3 linked regions of the Caenorhabditis elegans genome follow. The protein of the gene in region 3 interacts with the protein of the main gene of each other region in a biochemical or structural test. Each region holds a gene or a part of one and is shown on either strand. Other genes may lie near its edges.

What was found. Proteins that work in one complex are often made in the same cells at the same time.
Region 1: of the proteins of cep-1 (region 3) and ape-1, one has a biochemical effect on the other in vitro, tested with the Caenorhabditis elegans proteins (one study listed by BioGRID).
Region 2: the proteins of cep-1 (region 3) and prmt-5 form a complex in vitro, tested with the Caenorhabditis elegans proteins (one study listed by BioGRID).

The regions. Positions count from the first base shown.
Region 1 is NC_003283.11:11,673,995-11,678,980, reverse strand, and holds the start of ape-1 (Apoptotic enhancer 1 protein), read right to left. Parts: upstream 3,044-4,986; 5' UTR 3,020-3,043; coding exon 2,960-3,019; intron 2,726-2,959; coding exon 2,594-2,725; intron 987-2,593; exon of another isoform or gene 782-986; intron 1-781. UniProt on the Caenorhabditis elegans protein: Negetively regulates apoptosis via its interaction with cep-1.
Region 2 is NC_003281.10:5,228,838-5,235,050, reverse strand, and holds prmt-5 (Protein arginine N-methyltransferase 5), read right to left. Parts: upstream 4,497-6,213; 5' UTR 4,473-4,496; coding exon 4,177-4,472; intron 4,128-4,176; coding exon 4,046-4,127; intron 3,953-4,045; coding exon 3,759-3,952; intron 3,678-3,758; coding exon 3,396-3,677; intron 3,352-3,395; coding exon 2,946-3,351; intron 2,669-2,945; coding exon 2,187-2,668; intron 1,568-2,186; coding exon 1,396-1,567; intron 1,172-1,395; coding exon 953-1,171; intron 905-952; coding exon 833-904; 3' UTR 544-832; downstream 1-543. Other genes in the region: mrps-26 (Small ribosomal subunit protein mS26), read right to left, coding at 272-433; atp-2 (ATP synthase subunit beta, mitochondrial), read right to left, coding at 4,816-4,916, 4,965-5,676, 5,724-6,213. UniProt on the Caenorhabditis elegans protein: Catalyzes the symmetrical dimethylation of arginine residues in targets such as small nuclear ribonucleoproteins, histone H2A/H4 and cbp-1.
Region 3 is NC_003279.8:8,322,594-8,329,366, forward strand, and holds cep-1 (Transcription factor cep-1), read left to right. Parts: upstream 1-1,701; 5' UTR 1,702-1,707; coding exon 1,708-1,747; intron 1,748-1,798; coding exon 1,799-1,878; intron 1,879-1,930; coding exon 1,931-2,004; intron 2,005-2,055; coding exon 2,056-2,218; intron 2,219-2,343; coding exon 2,344-2,436; intron 2,437-2,480; coding exon 2,481-2,641; intron 2,642-2,866; coding exon 2,867-3,104; intron 3,105-3,605; coding exon 3,606-3,771; intron 3,772-4,215; coding exon 4,216-4,357; intron 4,358-4,869; coding exon 4,870-5,083; intron 5,084-5,437; coding exon 5,438-5,674; intron 5,675-5,739; coding exon 5,740-5,861; intron 5,862-5,909; coding exon 5,910-6,114; 3' UTR 6,115-6,266; downstream 6,267-6,773. Other genes in the region: ythc-2 (putative ATP-dependent RNA helicase spindle-E), read right to left, coding at 1-384, 441-713, 764-1,231, 1,326-1,390; rpl-23A.2 (Large ribosomal subunit protein uL23B), read right to left, coding at 6,521-6,622, 6,667-6,773. UniProt on the Caenorhabditis elegans protein: Transcriptional activator that binds the same DNA consensus sequence as p53. Has a role in normal development to ensure proper meiotic chromosome segregation.

The DNA.
Region 1 (4,986 bases), on a different chromosome or scaffold from region 3:
CCGACAATTCGCATTAAATCGCATACCAAACTGAGGCGATTCGGACAACGATTGTGTTGATGGTTGTTGGTGTATTGAAAAGCATGAAACTAAGCTGAATGTATTTAACGGAATAGAAAAAGGATTCAACTGGTCGACGAAAAGTTACAGAATGAAAAAGTAAATGTCAAAACTTCAACACTTCAAACCTATGCAAGAGATGACTTTTATATTACTTAAATCGGTTTCCCTTTCAATTGGATCAGATGTGGTAATAAGAAAAAAGTCGTGTTGGCGAACGGAAGATAAAAAAAAACAAGTGTTTTCAAAATGATGATATCACATGTCACATTTTAGCTTTAGAACTCTTTCGGGCCACCGGAAGAGAAATGAACATTAAACACCGGAAGAGAGTAAAGAAAAATTTCGGCGAACCAAACATGTATCCCATTTTGACCGATCAAAAAAAAATGTTTTACTTAAATGAAGCGATTCTCAAAATTTCTAATCAGTTTTTTTTCAAGAATATTTTAAAGAGTATGGCATTATTTGTAGTGGCTGCCACCATAGAATAGTATCTTCTGTCATAAAATACTACAACAACAATCATTGAACAGTCACCGACAGCCTCGCGAAGATGAAAAAATACTTTACAATTGTAGAATAATAACGCTTAACACGTAATACATATCATTATGCATAATGACTTGACGACAGTCTCGATTACACTACAAGAAAAAAAATAACATCTATAACTTTATGCGACTCTACGACGACAACATAGAAAGATGATGGAATTGAAAGAGAAGAAGCCGAGAGAAGCGTACGCTCACACACGCGTTCACTCACACAATTGCGCAATTAATTTAGTTGTAATACGCGTTGCCGACGTGCGCAAGACTATGCAACGATGAGAAGGAAGTGAGTGAAAAGTGAAAAAAAAAAACAAAATTTATAATCGAAAATTAATCGACTGACCAGTTTTTTTTTGGCGATCTTTCCTTCACAGCCACAGATTTTTTTTGATAAAATAATTAAACAAAAATAAAACAGTTGTTGTCTATTATCAACAAAAAATATTCGTGTACGCTAGAGGAGGAACTTTTTTTTACTTTTTAATATTCACGAAGAGCTTTTGGCCAGTGGGTCAAGAAAATAAAAATAGAAGAGAATTAAAATGAAGAAATAAGTCGGAGAATCCAATATAGGGGAAAGCTTGAATGATAAATCGAGGTTAATCGGCAAGGCGCGTACGGCGTACGCACACGAATACTTCGTCTATCTTTCTGTGTCTCTCTTCAAAGGTCAGACTTTCTGTTACGAGAGAAGAAGAAAATGAAGATGATGAGAAAATTGTTTCAATTTCGTGGAGGGCAAAAGTAAGAAGGGGAGAACGCCAATTGGCATCTTCTTTCAATTGACCGATCCACGAAGAGCACTCACTACTATCAATGATATGTGGTGATTAGGTACCGAAAGATAAAAAAGAGAAATTTTTAAACTAAAAGTGGTCGTGAACCTATGGAAAGACTATTTATCATCAGGAATTTGAATTTTTATATTGACTAAACTATTTTATGAAAATGTTTTTGATAATCTTAAAGGAGGATTTCGAAAAATGGGGATACATTTTTAGAAAACTCTGAAAATTCCAATTTACTGAAATACCACGAAAGAAAAAAGAAAAAATTACTAAAGATCAAAAATTCCAACTTTGAAAAGTGTGAATTTACATATCTCGAAGCCACACCCAGTTTCGAACCAATCAGCGTCTTCGTCTGATTGGTAAAAAAGTGGGCGGAGCGAAATGCTGATTGATCGCAGTTTTATTTTTGGAGGAAATTAAAATAGGGAAAAAATTGAAAAAGAGCGTTTTTGAAAATTGGAATTTTTGATCTTTCTTAATTTTTTCTATTTTTCTTTTGGGAAATTTCAGTTTGTAGGCATATTCCGAGTATTCTGGAACTGAATCAAAAATTTACTGATTTTATTTCCATCAAAAATTTACTTGATTGGTATAAATTTTTCCGAATCAATCTCGATCAACTAAAAAAAGCAAGTCATTTTGATCCATCTGAAGGTATCACGCGAGACTAATAATCTCTGATGCATTCCTATCCGTTTCTGATCTTCGACAATCTTAACCAATTCAAACCAGGACCTATCTTAAAATATAATATTTTTATCATTATTTTATGGCGATTGTGATGCGTTGATGTCTGCCTACCTGACTTATGGCCCGGCAGAAAAAAAAAAACAAAACGTGACACTTCAAATCAAAATTAGATGACTTTTTTCTACGCTAAGATACGCTATTGAGGTGTTCTCTCCTTTTCTGACTATCTTTTTTTGGGAAGGTGATGATACAATTGCGTGAGATGCAAAAATTCAAAGAATTCCGTTACTCTCCCCGCAAAAAAACTACAAATTATCAGAACCTAGCCATCATCCATCAAACGGATTGTTGAGATGAAGGGAGAAACCAATTGAATTATATGAAGAATTTCCGTTATCGAGTTTTCTTTTTCAATTTTTTCTAATAAAATCTTAATAGCATTTCCGTTTCTTGAAAATTTTGTTCCGCATTTTTTCATTTCAAACAAAAAAAACTAACTCGTTGATTTGCGGAGATGAACGGAGCCGTCGAAGATTTATGAGCCATCGTAGATGCCATTGATGACGTCGGACGGTATATTGGGGCAGTTGAAACAGTTCGTACAGAATCCGACGAGTGAATCAGAGACACCTGGAATATGAAAAATGGATAATCGTCAAACATCTGCTAATCTAACAGTAGACCTTAAATATTTTTTGAAAAATTTTTATCGACACTGAAATTTTTATTTTTAGATTTTTTTTTAAACAAATTATGATTTCGTCACAGTTCACGTACTTCATGAATCACGTGAATATAAGATTTACAAAAATAGATCAATCCCTTTTTGTAACAATTTGAAAAATAATTAATCTCGATTCTCACCTGTGTGACACCGTTGTTTGCCGGGTACCCTATACCCCCTCCGCTACTGGTCGTGACCATCTCGTTGAGAACTGAGATCTGAAAATGGAGGGAAGATTAGTATAATTTTGTTTGAAAGGATTGAGAGAAAATGACAAAGAGCAAACGTGAATCGTAATACTGAACTTTTCTTTAAAAAATCCAAAATTGTCTAAAATTCAGAAATGCCACAGAAGAAGAACGAATAAAATCGAAGAACAACGAAAAATTGAATTTTTAAATTTTGGCTAAATTCCATGCTTGAATTTCCAAAATGAGAATTTCGACCGTTTTTTTTCGTGAAATTTATGACAATTTTCAATTTTTCAAAATAAAAACAAACTTCTTTTAATTTTTCACATTAACACGGTGGTTTGAAGATATTATAGAACAAAAATAATATTTCACCGCCATTAAAAATGATCAAAGAGGAATTGAACCATTGAAACAGAAAAATCAGGAGAGAGTCCAAAAACATAACAATGAAAATTATCAAGTAGCCGTGTTATTATAGTTTTCTGTATCTAATTACGAATTATTATCATTTCGTAATAATACCGTTTAATCAGTGATAAGGTGTTAATAACTTACATATGAAATTTTGCTGAAACTTCAAACTTGCTGATAAAACGCCTCACATGCTAAAAACGTAAAAAAGAACGAGCCGTAACAAAAATAACGAAGAGAAGGAGGACCTGCGATTGAATGATCAGAGGAGCGCGCGCGCAAGGGAGCGTATGCATGTGTTGGTTCGAAAGATGACGACGAGCCAAAGTAAACACGGCCTCTTAGATATTGGGGTCGTCCCTCTGTGCCTCTCTCTATTCGCTTCGTTTATTATCAACAAACTTTTCTTATTTCTCACAGTCTCGTACCACATATCTTCAAAAAGAGACTTGGCACAATGCCAAAACGGCTTTCGGTGTAGAATGAGAGATACACAGACATTGAAAAAGAGATCGGGGACATCAACCTTGAAATGGATCACCGGTTGATTAACGACCAAAAATAGGAGAAGAACACCGGTAAATGTGGGTTGCTAGTTATGGTCCGTAAAAAGTGAAGTTGCGAAAAATTATTTTTCTGATGATCAAATCGTTGACAATTGAGCGAAAATGGGGGCAGAAGTAGAAGAGTGCATGATGAATAGAGGAAGGAAGAGGTCCACTTGAAATAATTCCGAAAGTGGCCTATTCAGTCGAGAATTGGCTGCTTCGGAAGCAGAACAAGCACAAAAGAGTGGAAGGAAGAGGAGAAAACTCAATTTCGACAAATTCTTTCTCTTGTCACTAACGAAACTCGAATGGTCATCAGGAAACGAAAAGGAAAAAGTAAAAATGTTCCGGTTCTTTTAATTCAGGATTTTATTTTGAGTTTTTAAAATAGGTTCGCGGTAGAGAAAATTTTTTTTAATTGCATCGATTATATAAAATTACAAATCAAGTTTGTCCAAATGAAAAGAACATCATTGTTTTGTTCGCTACAAGGAGAAAACTAGAAGCGAATTGGAGCTTTTGCTCCCGCACATTTCAATTGTTTGAAGTGGGAACAAGAAGAGTGCACTTTCTATTGGAAATGTGCTCAATGATTGTTTTTCTTTGTCAATAACTTAAAAGTAAATTGAAAGCCGTTTAAATATTTTAAGTAAAAATTAAAATTCAGAGTTCCTTATCCAAAATAAACAAAAAAAAGGTAGAAAGAAGGAAGCTGGCTGAACCAATTTCTCATACGGACCGTTCGACCGTTCGGGCGTGTCAACGATGTGAGTACAGGAATGGAGGGACGGAAAAGGTGAGCACGGGAGTGCATTAGAGAGAAGATACGCAGAATGAAAAGGCACATGAGAGACATAGTTGATTGAAGAGACGCAGAGCATAATCGGTTCTGTTGAATACAGGCAAAAGAAAAGGATATTTGTGTGCGTTTGTTGTGAGGGCAAGAAGGTCAGAGGAGAGCGACCGTTATTCTAATGAGAGAGAGTGACTAGGAAGACAGAAGAGACGGAGAGA
Region 2 (6,213 bases), on a different chromosome or scaffold from region 3:
ATAAGAGTAACAAAATTTAAAACTGTTAAAAATTTATAGAATTCTTCTAAATTTTTCAATAAAAAGTTGCACGTTTTTTTGTTGCAAGACTGAAAAAACCCATTTTTAAGGAGTTAGAAAAATACTGTAAATTTTCTAACAGTTATATTCGGTATATTGAGACATTTTCTGTCATTTTGGGAAAAAGCCCCGCTGGCGCATTTTTTTCGGCAAAAATTGGATTTTTTTATGTTCCAATTTTTGTTCTAGTGAAAAAATCAATAGAACTCACTTTCTTCGATGGAGGCAAAATTGGTGGTTTTCCCTGCTTTGGTTGCCGTCGTCCCATTTGTCTCTTCTGTACTCCGAATACTTCGTCCATTTGTGACATGGCAGATGCCAAAAGACATCGTCCCGTTGAAGAAATTGATAAACGAGAACTGTTTATCAACATTCTGAAAATATTTTTAAATGAAAAATAATTGGGAAAACTTTAAAATCTCTATAAAAATATGTTTTAGTATGAAAACTAATAACTATAATTCAAAATTACAAAAAAACAACAGAATAAAACAAGCTCTTTAATTCGGAAAATTAACGGAAACTTAAAAACTGAATTTTTAAACAATTAATATCGAATTAAAAGGAGCAACAATCGAATCGCGATAGATACCGGAGCAAAAAAGAATCTTCAAATTAATGAACCGGAAAATGGGCAACAGGAAATGGGAAAACCAACGGAAAAAATTCTAGGAATGATTGGGAAATTCAATAGGGGCGCAAAAGTGAATAACACATCAACAATTAGGATTAAAACAGGAAAATAATAATTATAAAAGCGAAAAACTAGGCACTACATTCTCATGTAATAGCTCTCTCCATTTGGATTCTGGATCGGGGTGCTCACAGATTCGCCATTGGTTTTCTGGAAAAAACTCAACTATAATCTTAATAAGTTATCAAAAACTGTTACCTTTTTTTCAACATGCCATTCGTACCACACACCAGTATTGTCAACTTTTCGATCGATTTTCAGAGAAATTCTGTCACCTTCTCCAACTCTCAATTGATCTCTAAGTGGAATAACAGCTGGGAACCAACTGACCATTCCAGGTGTATGAGTTGATGGTTCAATTGAAAGCATCACGGTTTTGTAGAGTTGAAGATCAAAGTAGCCGGCGAATCCCATCAGCTGAAATAAATTAGGTTCTAACTTATTTGATTTTTAATTTAATAAACACATATTTTATCAATAAAATTTTTCAATTCATTGTTTTATTTTCAAAGGTGGACTGTCATTTGTGCGAATTTTGCATTTAATATAAGCAAATTACCTCAAATAATCAACGAAAAAATATTTTTAAATTTTCTTAAGAATTTCTAAGTTTTTTTTTTTTTTTTTGCTGAAAAACTTACATCTGCATTTCTATCCATAACAAATTCAATAGAATCGCTTCTCTCATTGCTTGAATTCATGAAATTTGGATGTTCAAATGTGAATACTGGTTTGGTGGTTTCGGCAAGTGGAATGTATTTTGAAAGATATACAACGTAGATTTGATCCATATTGTTACGAACATGTCCTTGTCTGAAAGAAAATGTTTATTAAAATTTAAAAAAAAAGTTTTTATGCTTTTTTTTTAATTAAAAATTATTCTAAAATAAGAGTAAATTGAAGCATAACTTGTGGAGCGGATACTCCCGTCAAGAAAAGATGGCCTAGAAACCTCCGTGTACTCGGCCAGGGCCTTTATGTACACAAGAGTAGAAAACTTCAGAAATATTTATTACCACAACATGAATTTTAGCGATACTTTTTCTAATATTACGGTACCCGGTATCTACACGATAAATATTCGTTAATACGAAACTTTTTGTACCTTTGAAGAGTACTGTAATTTCAATATCCCATGATTTTTCATAGTTTTTTAAATAAAAATCAATATCAATTTATCAAAACTAAACTAAAATAATAAAATGCCAACCAAAAAAAACTATAAAAAATTAATAAAAACTCTGCAGCAACAAGTCTTAGATTACAGTATAGTTTAAAGGTGCACACGTTTTCGCATATAACAAAGATTTTTGTTTGAATTTTTTTTTTAATTTTAAAAATTTTGTCTAATCGAGACCGGGACTAGCAAAATTTGGCATCGGGGTAATAAGGCAGAATGTTTATATTTTTATAAAAAAATTGAAAAACAAACGGGTATTTTTGAATCCACATTTCGTCTTCATCCAATTCCGGTTCACCTCTACCATGCGATGGAATTGCACGACTCAAATAAGGAATACTTTGAGCTTTAATTGTTTGATGAATATGAGTACTCATTATTGGCTTCACATAGCTAGTGTACTTCTGTGGAATTGAAATTGTTGTTGGCTTCAAAAATCCAGTGACACCATCTAGACATTCAGGACTCAACTCGTTATCTCCAAAACTTCCAAGAAGTTCCGAAACAATTATGTCAGGTTGTTCGAATCCACGATCTTTCGCAATTCCCGGCAGACTTCGCATATCACTTTCAATAATCGTTACTCGTCGTTTCCATGTTCTCACATTCATATATTTCAGAGTGACGATTGCATTTGGATTCTTTTCAACAATATAAAGCTTCACTTTGAGACTTTCTTGGCCTTGTCGGAATGTGTTGTTGTATTCTCTTTCAGATTTCAGAATTTTCGTTCCCTGAAAAAAATTGAAATTTATAATATTTAAAACTATGGAGACGCATAAAAATGCCCGTTTTGATATTCATTTAGACCGAAAAACTGTAAATTGAAAAATGTTGCAGTTCGCTTCAGACAATTGGCAAAATTAACTGCAAAATGTTTGAATTTCCGGCTTGTCGCCAACTTCCAAACGAGACCCATGGTCAGGGGGTGGAGTGTTTTCAATTGGCCACAAAATATGTTTTCATGTCGAATTAAAAGGGACTTTTTCTACTTAATAGCCAAAAACTCACAATAGGACCACGTCCTCCTCCCAACAAGTAAATGACAACAGTTTTTCTTCCGTCAGCTCCAAGATCTTTTAATGCTCCAACTACAGCTTCTCCATACACGTCGTATTTAATTTGATCCTGCTCGAATGTATTATAAACTCCTGAATCCAAATTTTCAGACAATGGTTGAAGAGGTGCTTGCAAAACATCTTTGTATTCGATAACATTAAGATAATGAGTGGAGTCATTCGATCCTTCTCCAACATCAGGACGACTTCGGTAATTAACATTTCGAACTGCATGACGAAGAGCTTGAGAATACTCGGATTTGATAGAAGTATTGTACTTGAATGTATCCGTTGTGGCACGAAGAACGATCCGAAGTGCATCAGTTGTCCATAGATGTTTTAATAAATTTATGTGGGCACTGAAAAATTAGTATTTATTTGAAAATGTAATCTTGAAATTTACCTTGGAATTGATGCTTCTCCATTTCTTCCAGAAATAAAAAGACCCGATTCGATAACAAAAGCTGCTAGGGGCTCGGCCTTCCAACGGTCCACAAGTTTAAGCTCAGTAAGCTCATCGGGAAGTTCCGAAGAGATCGTCAAAGCCACTTGGAAATAAACACCACTGAAATTACCACAATTCTTCCGGAAATCGGCCCAAATTGTCCATAAATCAACATGTTCTATTGTGAAAGCGTCATAATCTTTGCACTTTTCAATTGCAGACGGAAGTTGAACCCAAACACTGAAAATAAATATAAACTTTGCTTTTTTAAAAAATATTTTACTGAAAAAAAGGAGCTATTTCATATTGCATTTTACTTACGTAAAACGCGAATTTCTAGTCCAAATCCATTTTTTCAAAATGGCAGCAGTACGAGGCGACGAGATGCGTGTGAGCTCGATTGCCATCGTTTGAAGACCCAAATAACAAATGTAGCTGAGCTCTTTCAGAAGATGTTCCTCGGAAAGCGAGGCAAAGGCTGGATCAGAAGAGTCACAGTCGATCCATGGAGAAATCTTGAAAAAAATGACAATTTCAGGTTTTAATTTAAGAATAAAGGGCTTGTTCTTCGAAAAAGTAATTAAAATTAAAAAAAAAACCCCCCATACTTTTCCTACAACATAGCTTTCCCAGAGATCATTTCTCAGCTGAACATCGGGCAAATCAATAACAGGTGGATGATTCTCCGCGCTGAAAATTAGTAGTCTAGTTGAAGTTGGGTAAGATAGTCGATGTGAACCTTCCATTAGGCGTCCAGAATGCGCGAACGACCCCTCCAATCGGGTAGACGACAAAGTTATACTTGAACTCTCCCAGTCGTGTACAGAAAGTAGCAACATGACGGTCTAGATTCTCGGCAACGTCCAAGGTTGTGGCCATCCATCCGATGTGTATTCTAGAGTTCGCTGCCTCAACAGAGCTTATACTTCTGCTGGGAGAATTACTTTTGGGCGAAGAACCAGAAGACATCTGTTCCTCATGCTGCTCCGCGACCTGTTGTGGAAACAGATTATCGGCATACGTTCTGTTACTCATTCGTTTAACCTGAAATTTGACGATCAACAAACTCGCAGTTTTATCATCGGCTTTCTGTTTATTTCTGATAAAAATATACTAGAAGTCAAATGAACTTGGGGTGTGAAAAAAATAATGTTTTTGCTTTATTTTTGTTGCCTTTTAGGGCATTTGGGTTGGTAGTTGAATTCGAAGAAGGGAGAGTGAGAGATGGAAAACAACGTATTGGGAGTCACCAAATAGTGGTCTGACGGAAACAGCACTACCGCAACAATACAATAAACTATACATTAAATTTATCTCTACCAAAAAACATTGAAAAAAAGAAAAACGAAGTGTCGGCGTTATAACAAAAAAAATAAAACTAATTTCCGTGTTGCTTGGCGAGTTCTTCGGCCTTCTTGAACACATCATCGATTCCTCCTTGCATGTAGAAAGCAACTTCTGGAAGGTGGTCGAGTTCTCCTGAAAATTGATTTAATTTTAATGTTTTCAACGTTTAAATATTCTTACCCTTGAGAATCATGGTGAAACCGCGGATTGTCTCTTCGAGTGATACGAACTTTCCTTGATGTCCAGTGAACACCTCAGCGACTTGGAATGGTTGGGAAAGGAAACGTTGGATCTTGCGGGCACGTGAAACGGTAAGCTTGTCTTCCTCGGACAACTCATCCATACCAAGAATAGCAATAATATCTTGGAGGGACTTGTAATCTTGGAGGATCTTTTGAACTCCACGAGCAATGTCGTAGTGGTTCTGTCCGACAACGTTGGGGTCCATGATACGGGAGGTGGAGTCAAGTGGATCGACAGCTGGGTAGATAGCCAATTCGGCAATACCACGGGACAAGACAGTGGTGGCGTCCAAGTGAGCGAATGTGGTAGCTGGAGCTGGATCAGTCAAATCGTCAGCAGGTACGTAAATAGCCTGGACGGATGTGATGGATCCCTTCTTGGTGGTGGTAATTCTCTCTTGCATACTTCCCATGTCAGTGGCAAGGGTTGGTTGGTATCCGACAGCGGATGGGATACGTCCGAGAAGAGCGGACACTTCAGATCCAGCCTGGGTGAAACGGAAAATGTTGTCAATGAAAAGAAGCACATCTTGTCCTTCCTGGTCACGGAAGTACTCGGCGACAGTGAGACCGGTGAGGCACACACGAGCACGGGCACCTGGTGGCTCGTTCATTTGTCCGTATACGAGAGATACCTTGGAGTTCTTTCCCTATAAATTGTTTATTTAAATACCATGAACCATTTTTTCCTACTAACCTTGAGATCAATGACTCCTCCTTCAATCATTTCGTGGTAGAGATCGTTTCCTTCACGGGTACGCTCTCCGACTCCAGCGAACACAGAGTAACCTCCGTGAGCCTTGGCGACGTTGTTAATGAGCTCCATGATAAGCACAGTCTTTCCGACTCCAGCTCCTCCGAAAAGTCCAATCTTTCCTCCCTTGGCGTATGGGGCAAGAAGATCGACGACCTTGATTCCGGTAACAAGAATCTCCTGCTCGACGGACATTTCGACGAATTCTGGAGCTTCAGCGTGGATAGCAGCGAAGTTCTTGGATGCAATTGGACCTCTCTCGTCAATTGGCTCTCCAATGACGTTCATGATACGGCCAAGAGTTTCTGGTCCGACTGGGATCTTAATCGGATCTCCGGTGTCAGCAACTGGCTGTCCACGGACAAGTCCTTCAGTTCCGTCCATAGCAATACATCTGACGACATTGTCTCCGAGATGTTGAGAGACCTCAAGA
Region 3 (6,773 bases):
TCTTCTTCATATTCGGCAGTAGAGAAGAAGGCTTTCGATTCAGGTGGTTGATAGCCAGTCATTGCAAGAATTTGATCCAAATAGAAAACTTTCACATCAAATGCTCGAGATTCAATACGAATCACATCCATTGAATGATTTTCAAAATAATTCGAGAACAATTGCATATTTCCTTCGATCGTTGCTGACATCAGAATGACTTTGAGATCTGGACGCATTTTTAGACATTCACGTAGTGCAATTAGAAGATAATCTGTGTTGATTTCACGTTCGTGGATCTCGTCCATCACAATGTGCGTTATTCCAGAGGCAACTGGGTCAGATGTGAGCATTCTTAGAAGAACACCAGTGGTACAATATGTCAGAACAGTATCGTCGCTTCGTCTGCAAAGAAAAATGAAGTTGAAACAAAGTGATATCGAGAGAAAAGTGTGAATTACCTGCTATCAAGTCTAACTTGATATCCAACAGTGCGTCCAATGGGCTCTCCACGTTCCCTCGCAACTCGTTCAGCAATTGAAATTGCAGCAATACGACGAGGTTGTGTGACCATCACACGAACATGTTTATTATTTTCGTGCGCTTCATCGAGAATGAATTGTGGTACTTGTGTAGTTTTTCCACATCCAGTTCCTCCACTGATGATAACCACATTGCACGAGCTAATAGATTTCAGCACTTGGTCACAATATTTGGAAGCTGGCAGTGAATTTCTGAAATTTTTAATGTTATAGGAGTAACTATTTATACAGTTTTCACAAACCTGACTTTTTGTAACTCTTTTGAGCATTTTGACTTTGGTGGGATCACCATTCTATCACTAATATGCCCCTTCGTGGTGTGCATTTGTTTTGTCTGTGTCTCTGTCAAAAACTCGTCCATTTCTTCTCTGGTGATCGGATGCTTTTCGACAAACTTCGACAGCTTCTGAAGACACTCGAAGGATGGAGTGATTGGCTCAGTTGCAACAAGAGTTGACTTGGATAGTCTGTTCACTCTCTTCGACAGAATCATGTACCGATCTGGCTCTCTTCCATGAGATTTGGTTGTCATTTCATTGAGTAGCGCGACCTCGTGCATCACCTTTCTCTGATCTCTTCCCATAGGTTCAAGTGTCGTGTTCTTTTGTCCACTTTTCAGAAACGAACGAATGATTTCATTCGCCACCCGTCGATACTCTTTGCGAGTGTCATTATCTGTACCTCGTGGCAAGACCCGCGATGCATCAAACCTGAAAATTGTTTACAGTCATTTGATGATTGAAATATAAGATTTTTCAAAAATATTTGTTTTTTTAATATTAATTTTTTTCAAACAGAACTCACCCGTTTCTAGAACAACGTTTGCTATCAACTCCACCCCGAAAGAATCCAGGTGGTTCGTCTGACATTATGCTGCAATTTTATGAGAATATTCAGACGCAACAACAACGTGACAAACGACGAGATAAAAATCTATCAAGGCTGAAACAATGACAAAAAAGAAATCCCGACAAATGAAAATGGCGCCTAAAACAAACTTTTTTAAAGGACGTCGGGTTTCATTCACAGATGGGTCTCGGAACGAAATCATGGAGTACGGTATCACACACTTGAATTTGAAAGTGAACTTCTTTATTTGTTTCTCTTGCAAGTTTAAACTTAAGTTTTTAATTTTTTCTGCTTGTTTCTCAATAAAATAAAAATATTACTTGATTTGTAGCGCAGAATGGAACCCGATGATTCACAACTCAGTGATATTTTGAAAGGTGAAAAGCTAGAAATCTTGAAATATAGATTTCAATTAAATTTGCTTTCAGATGCAAGAATACCCGATTCGCAGGACATCGGCGTAAATTTGACACAAAATCTAAGCTTCGACACTGTCCAGAAAATGATAGTGAGTTTCCGAAAAAAAAAAATCCTAATTTTCAAATAAATAATTTTATCAGGACGGAGTATTCACTCCAATATTCAGTCAAGGGACTGAAGATTCACTGGAAAAAGATATATTAAAGACGCCTGGGTTCGTTTAAAAAAGAAAAATATGATTTATATTTGAAAATTAATTATTCAGAATTTCAACTATCTATAACGGAATACTGGGCAATGGCGAGGAAACCAAGAAAAGAACGCCAAAGATTTCCGATGCTTTCGAACCGGATTTGAATACTTCTGGAGATGTATTCGACAGTGATAAATCAGAAGATGGTTTAATGAATGATGAATCATATCTATCGGTTAGTAAATGAAATAGGAAGTGAAGAATGCAATGAAAAGGCATAAAAAACTAATTGAAGACAGTTGAACTCTTCTACTTTTGCAAATTATCAAAATACAATCATTAAATAATCCAAAGCTTCAGAATACAACGTTGTCGCAAGTTGTGCTCGACTCCCAAAAGTATGAATATCTTCGAGTACGTACAGAGGAAGAACAGCAACTTGTAATTGAGAAGGTGAGTATTATTGAAATTATATCTATAGAGAATCTAATTTCCAGCGTGCCAGAGAACGATTTATTCGAAAATCGATGAAAATCGCGGAAGAAACAGCATTATCCTATGAAAATGACGGATCGAGAGAGCTTTCTGAAACTATGACACAGAAGGTTACACAAATGGATTTTACGGAAACAAATGTGCCTTTTGATGGAAATGATGAGTGAGGAGTTTTGTATTTTTCGGATTTAGTGGAAATTTTCAATTAAAACAAATATATATTTAAAGGTGGACTGTTGCTTTGAAATCAAGACTGCCGCTGAAAGTTTAATATATATTTTTTGAGCAAAACCGAAAAAAATCCAACTTTTATTTTCTGGATTTGTTTTTTGGGTTTGGAGTATTTTTAAGAAAAACTCTCATTCACCCTATTTCACGGTATTTTCAGATCATCGAATTTGGCTGTAAGAGTTCAATCAGATATGAATTTGAATGAAGATTGTGAAAAATGGATGGAAATTGACGTTCTTAAACAGAAAGTGGCAAAAAGTTCAGATATGGCATTTGCAATTTCATCGGAACACGAAAAATATCTTTGGACTAAAATGGGATGTCTAGTGCCGATTCAAGTGAAATGGAAATTGGATAAACGTCATTTTAACAGTAATTTATCACTTAGAATCAGGGTGAGTTGGCGTTAGGATCAAGGGTGTCAATGTCCCGTGAAAATTTCAAAAACGGGACAACGGGACGTCCCGTTTTTTTGAAAACACTCAAAAAACGGGGCAAACGGGGCGGTTAAAAAAAAGAGTGCATAGTTGGCGTAAATTTTAGTGTATTCGAGGCAAACTATTAAAAGAAACTGCATGTAAGTCATTAATCTGCATGAATTTAAGTCTTGAAACAAAACTCAAAAACAGAACTTTAAAATGTGCAACAAAATCATGAGAGAAATTGTCCCGTTCCCGTGATAATTTTAACAACGGGACAACGGGACGTCCCGTTCCCGTGAAAACACTCAAAAAACGGGACAACGGGACATGGGACTTGACACCCTTGGTTAGGATGTAAATGTTTTCACTTTTTGAAAAAAAATCTCTGAGACTACCGTAATACGAAATAAACATTTATTTTGTGCAAAAAATTCAAATTGAGAAAAGAGGCACTAAGTTTGTAAACATTTTCAGTTTGTGAAATACGACAAAAAAGAAAATGTCGAATATGCGATTCGAAATCCAAGAAGTGATGTGATGAAGTGTCGAAGTCATACTGAACGAGAACAACATTTTCCATTTGATTCATTTTTCTACATTAGAAATTCAGAACACGAATTTTCATATAGTGCGGAAAAAGGTAACGTTCGAAATATGAATATAACGGCGAATTCTACAAAATTTTGGTATTATCCAAACATGAAATATTGTGATTTTTGCACCACAAGTACGGTAGTCTCGACACGACAAATTTTTGTTAACTGTAAAATGGAATGCACCTTTAAAGAGTACCGTAATTTTTTGAAGCTGTTTGTTGCGGATTTTTCATAGTTTTTCGATGAAAATTTATTTGGAAACTCAAATAAAACAACAAAAATAACATTAAATTTTTTAAAATGTAATTAAATGGAAAATCGCAATTTTTGAGAAAATCGGCAAATAATTCCGATGGAACATTTTAAAGTCAATTTTTAAACATTTTTTTCAAAATTTTCAGATCAGGCGAATAACTTTCTTAAATATTTTAACACTATTCTAGTTGAATCAACATGTTCAAAATTATTGCATAATAAATAATTTTCAGGAAGTACATTTACATTGATAATGTATCCAGGCGCAGTTCAGGCGAATTTTGATATAATCTTCATGTGTCAAGAGAAGTGCCTTGATTTGGATGATCGACGAAAAACGATGTGCCTTGCGGTCTTTTTGGACGATGAAAATGGGTAAATTCAGACATAATTTCAAATTTGAAAAAAGAATACTGAAAAAGCTTTCTACTACTGTCCTACTGTTGAAGAAATATGCCTTCCTCTATTCACTTGAAACAGTGTTTCTTTTCTACTTAACAAAAAGTCAAAGATTACTTTCAAATAATCAAAATAATTTAAAATATTTATTCCAAAATAGTTTAAAAACGACATCTACTGTTCTTACTATTTCCAGATAGGGGGTCGTGTAAGAGAAATGTAAAAATTCTAGGCCAGTCTGGAGTCATTTAAAAACGCGGCAATGTTTACCGCGTTTCAAATCAATTTTTTGCTAATTTTTTAATAACACTTATTGCTTGATCTTTATTCATAATCAAATACATTTGTGAATTGTTGATCTTTTTTTTTGAACATTTGTTTTCACTCTTTGAATTGGTTCTTTTGAAAAAGCTCTTTATAATCGAGTAAAATTAATAGTGAAAATCTCTCTTTAAACATTTTAATATACTAAATAAAAACCATTTCAGAAACGAAATTCTCCACGCATACATCAAACAAGTTCGAATTGTTGCCTATCCACGACGTGACTGGAAGAATTTCTGTGAGCGAGAAGACGCAAAACAAAAGGATTTCAGATTTCCCGAGTTACCTGCCTACAAGAAGGCGAGCCTAGAATCGATAAATATCAAACAAGAGGTCAATCTAGAGAACATGTTCAACGTGACCAATACTACTGCACAGGTTTGTCTAGAATATGATTTAAAAGAATTTGGAAAATAGTAAATAACTTCAATTTCCAAAATCATGCCTTGTAGAAATATCAATTTTCTGCCAGAAGAATATACCATATTTATCATGATTCTTTTCAATTTTCTATAGAAAAACGTTTTCTTCTTGTTTCCGTCGAATGAACAAAAACTGAATTGAAATTCGATATCTTATCTCCCAATGACTTCCTTTATGCGTAATGTTTGCTCGACCACAAAGCTTTGAAATGTTTTATTTCGATCTAATTTTTTAAATATATATGCTCTAATTCCCAAGACATTCAATTATTTTCTCAACGCAATATGAAATAAGATTTTAAATTTACAGATGGAACCATCAACTTCATATTCATCTCCATCAAACAGTAATAATCGGAAGAGATTTTTGAATGAGTGTGATTCTCCAAATAATGATTATACAATGATGCACAGAACTCCACCAGTAACAGGTTATGCAAGTCGTCTTCATGGATGCGTTCCTCCGATTGAAACTGAACACGAAAACTGTCAATCTCCGTCGATGAAGAGAAGTCGCTGTACCAATTATTCGTTTAGAACGCTCACTGTAAGTATTTTTAGCTCACTCTTAAAGCAATATTATAATTAATTTTGATTCACAATAAATTTCAGCTGTCGACTGCTGAGTATACAAAAGTCGTCGAATTTCTGGCACGCGAAGCAAAAGTTCCCAGATACACTTGGGTTCCGACGCAAGTAGTCTCCCATATATTGCCAACTGAAGGACTTGAAAGGTATTTATAAAGATTTATAAAGATTGCCGTAATTTCTTTTTTTTGAAGATTCCTCACCGCTATAAAAGCAGGGCACGATTCAGTGTTGTTCAATGCAAACGGAATTTATACAATGGGGGATATGATTAGAGAATTCGAGAAACATAATGACATCTTCGAAAGAATTGGTATCGATTCTTCGAAATTGTCGAAATACTACGAAGCGTTTCTCAGCTTTTACCGCATCCAGGAAGCGATGAAACTGCCAAAGTAAAAATCATATCACCACCTGGTTTAATCGCCTAATTTGTTTTCACAATATTCATCCTTTTCAAAGCACCGCATTTCTCACTAGATACTCAAACTGACATTTGTTCCTTTTTATAATCGCATTTTTTCGTAATAAAGTTTGTTCGTTTTATCAATTCAAAACTAATTTTAGACAGTCCGGCTACGAATGATGTTTACGGAGACAAAACGAGTCTGTCGACGAACATAAATCGACTCAGAATGAGAATGTCACCGAGACTTGAAGAGGTATTTGATACTACAATAAAATCTGCTTCCTTTTTGAATCAAATCTGCACGTTGCAATCGAATCGATTGCTTCCCACAAAGCTCAACTACGTTTAATGAATATCTTCATCATAACGGTAACGAACAATGAACAACAAATAGATTTAGATGAATCCGATCTTGTTGGCAACATCAAGAGCATCGTAGTCCGAAGCCAATCGAACGTAAGCTTTCTTCTGTTGGAGTGGAGTAATCAGGGTGTTGACCTGTAAATTTGAAATATTACGTGAACTGATAATTAGGAACATACCTTAACAGCCTTGACGTTGTAAAGGGCATGGACGGCTCTCTTGATGTGATGCTTGTTGGCCTTCTCGTCAACAATGAAGACAAGGGTGTTGTGGTCTTCGATCTTCT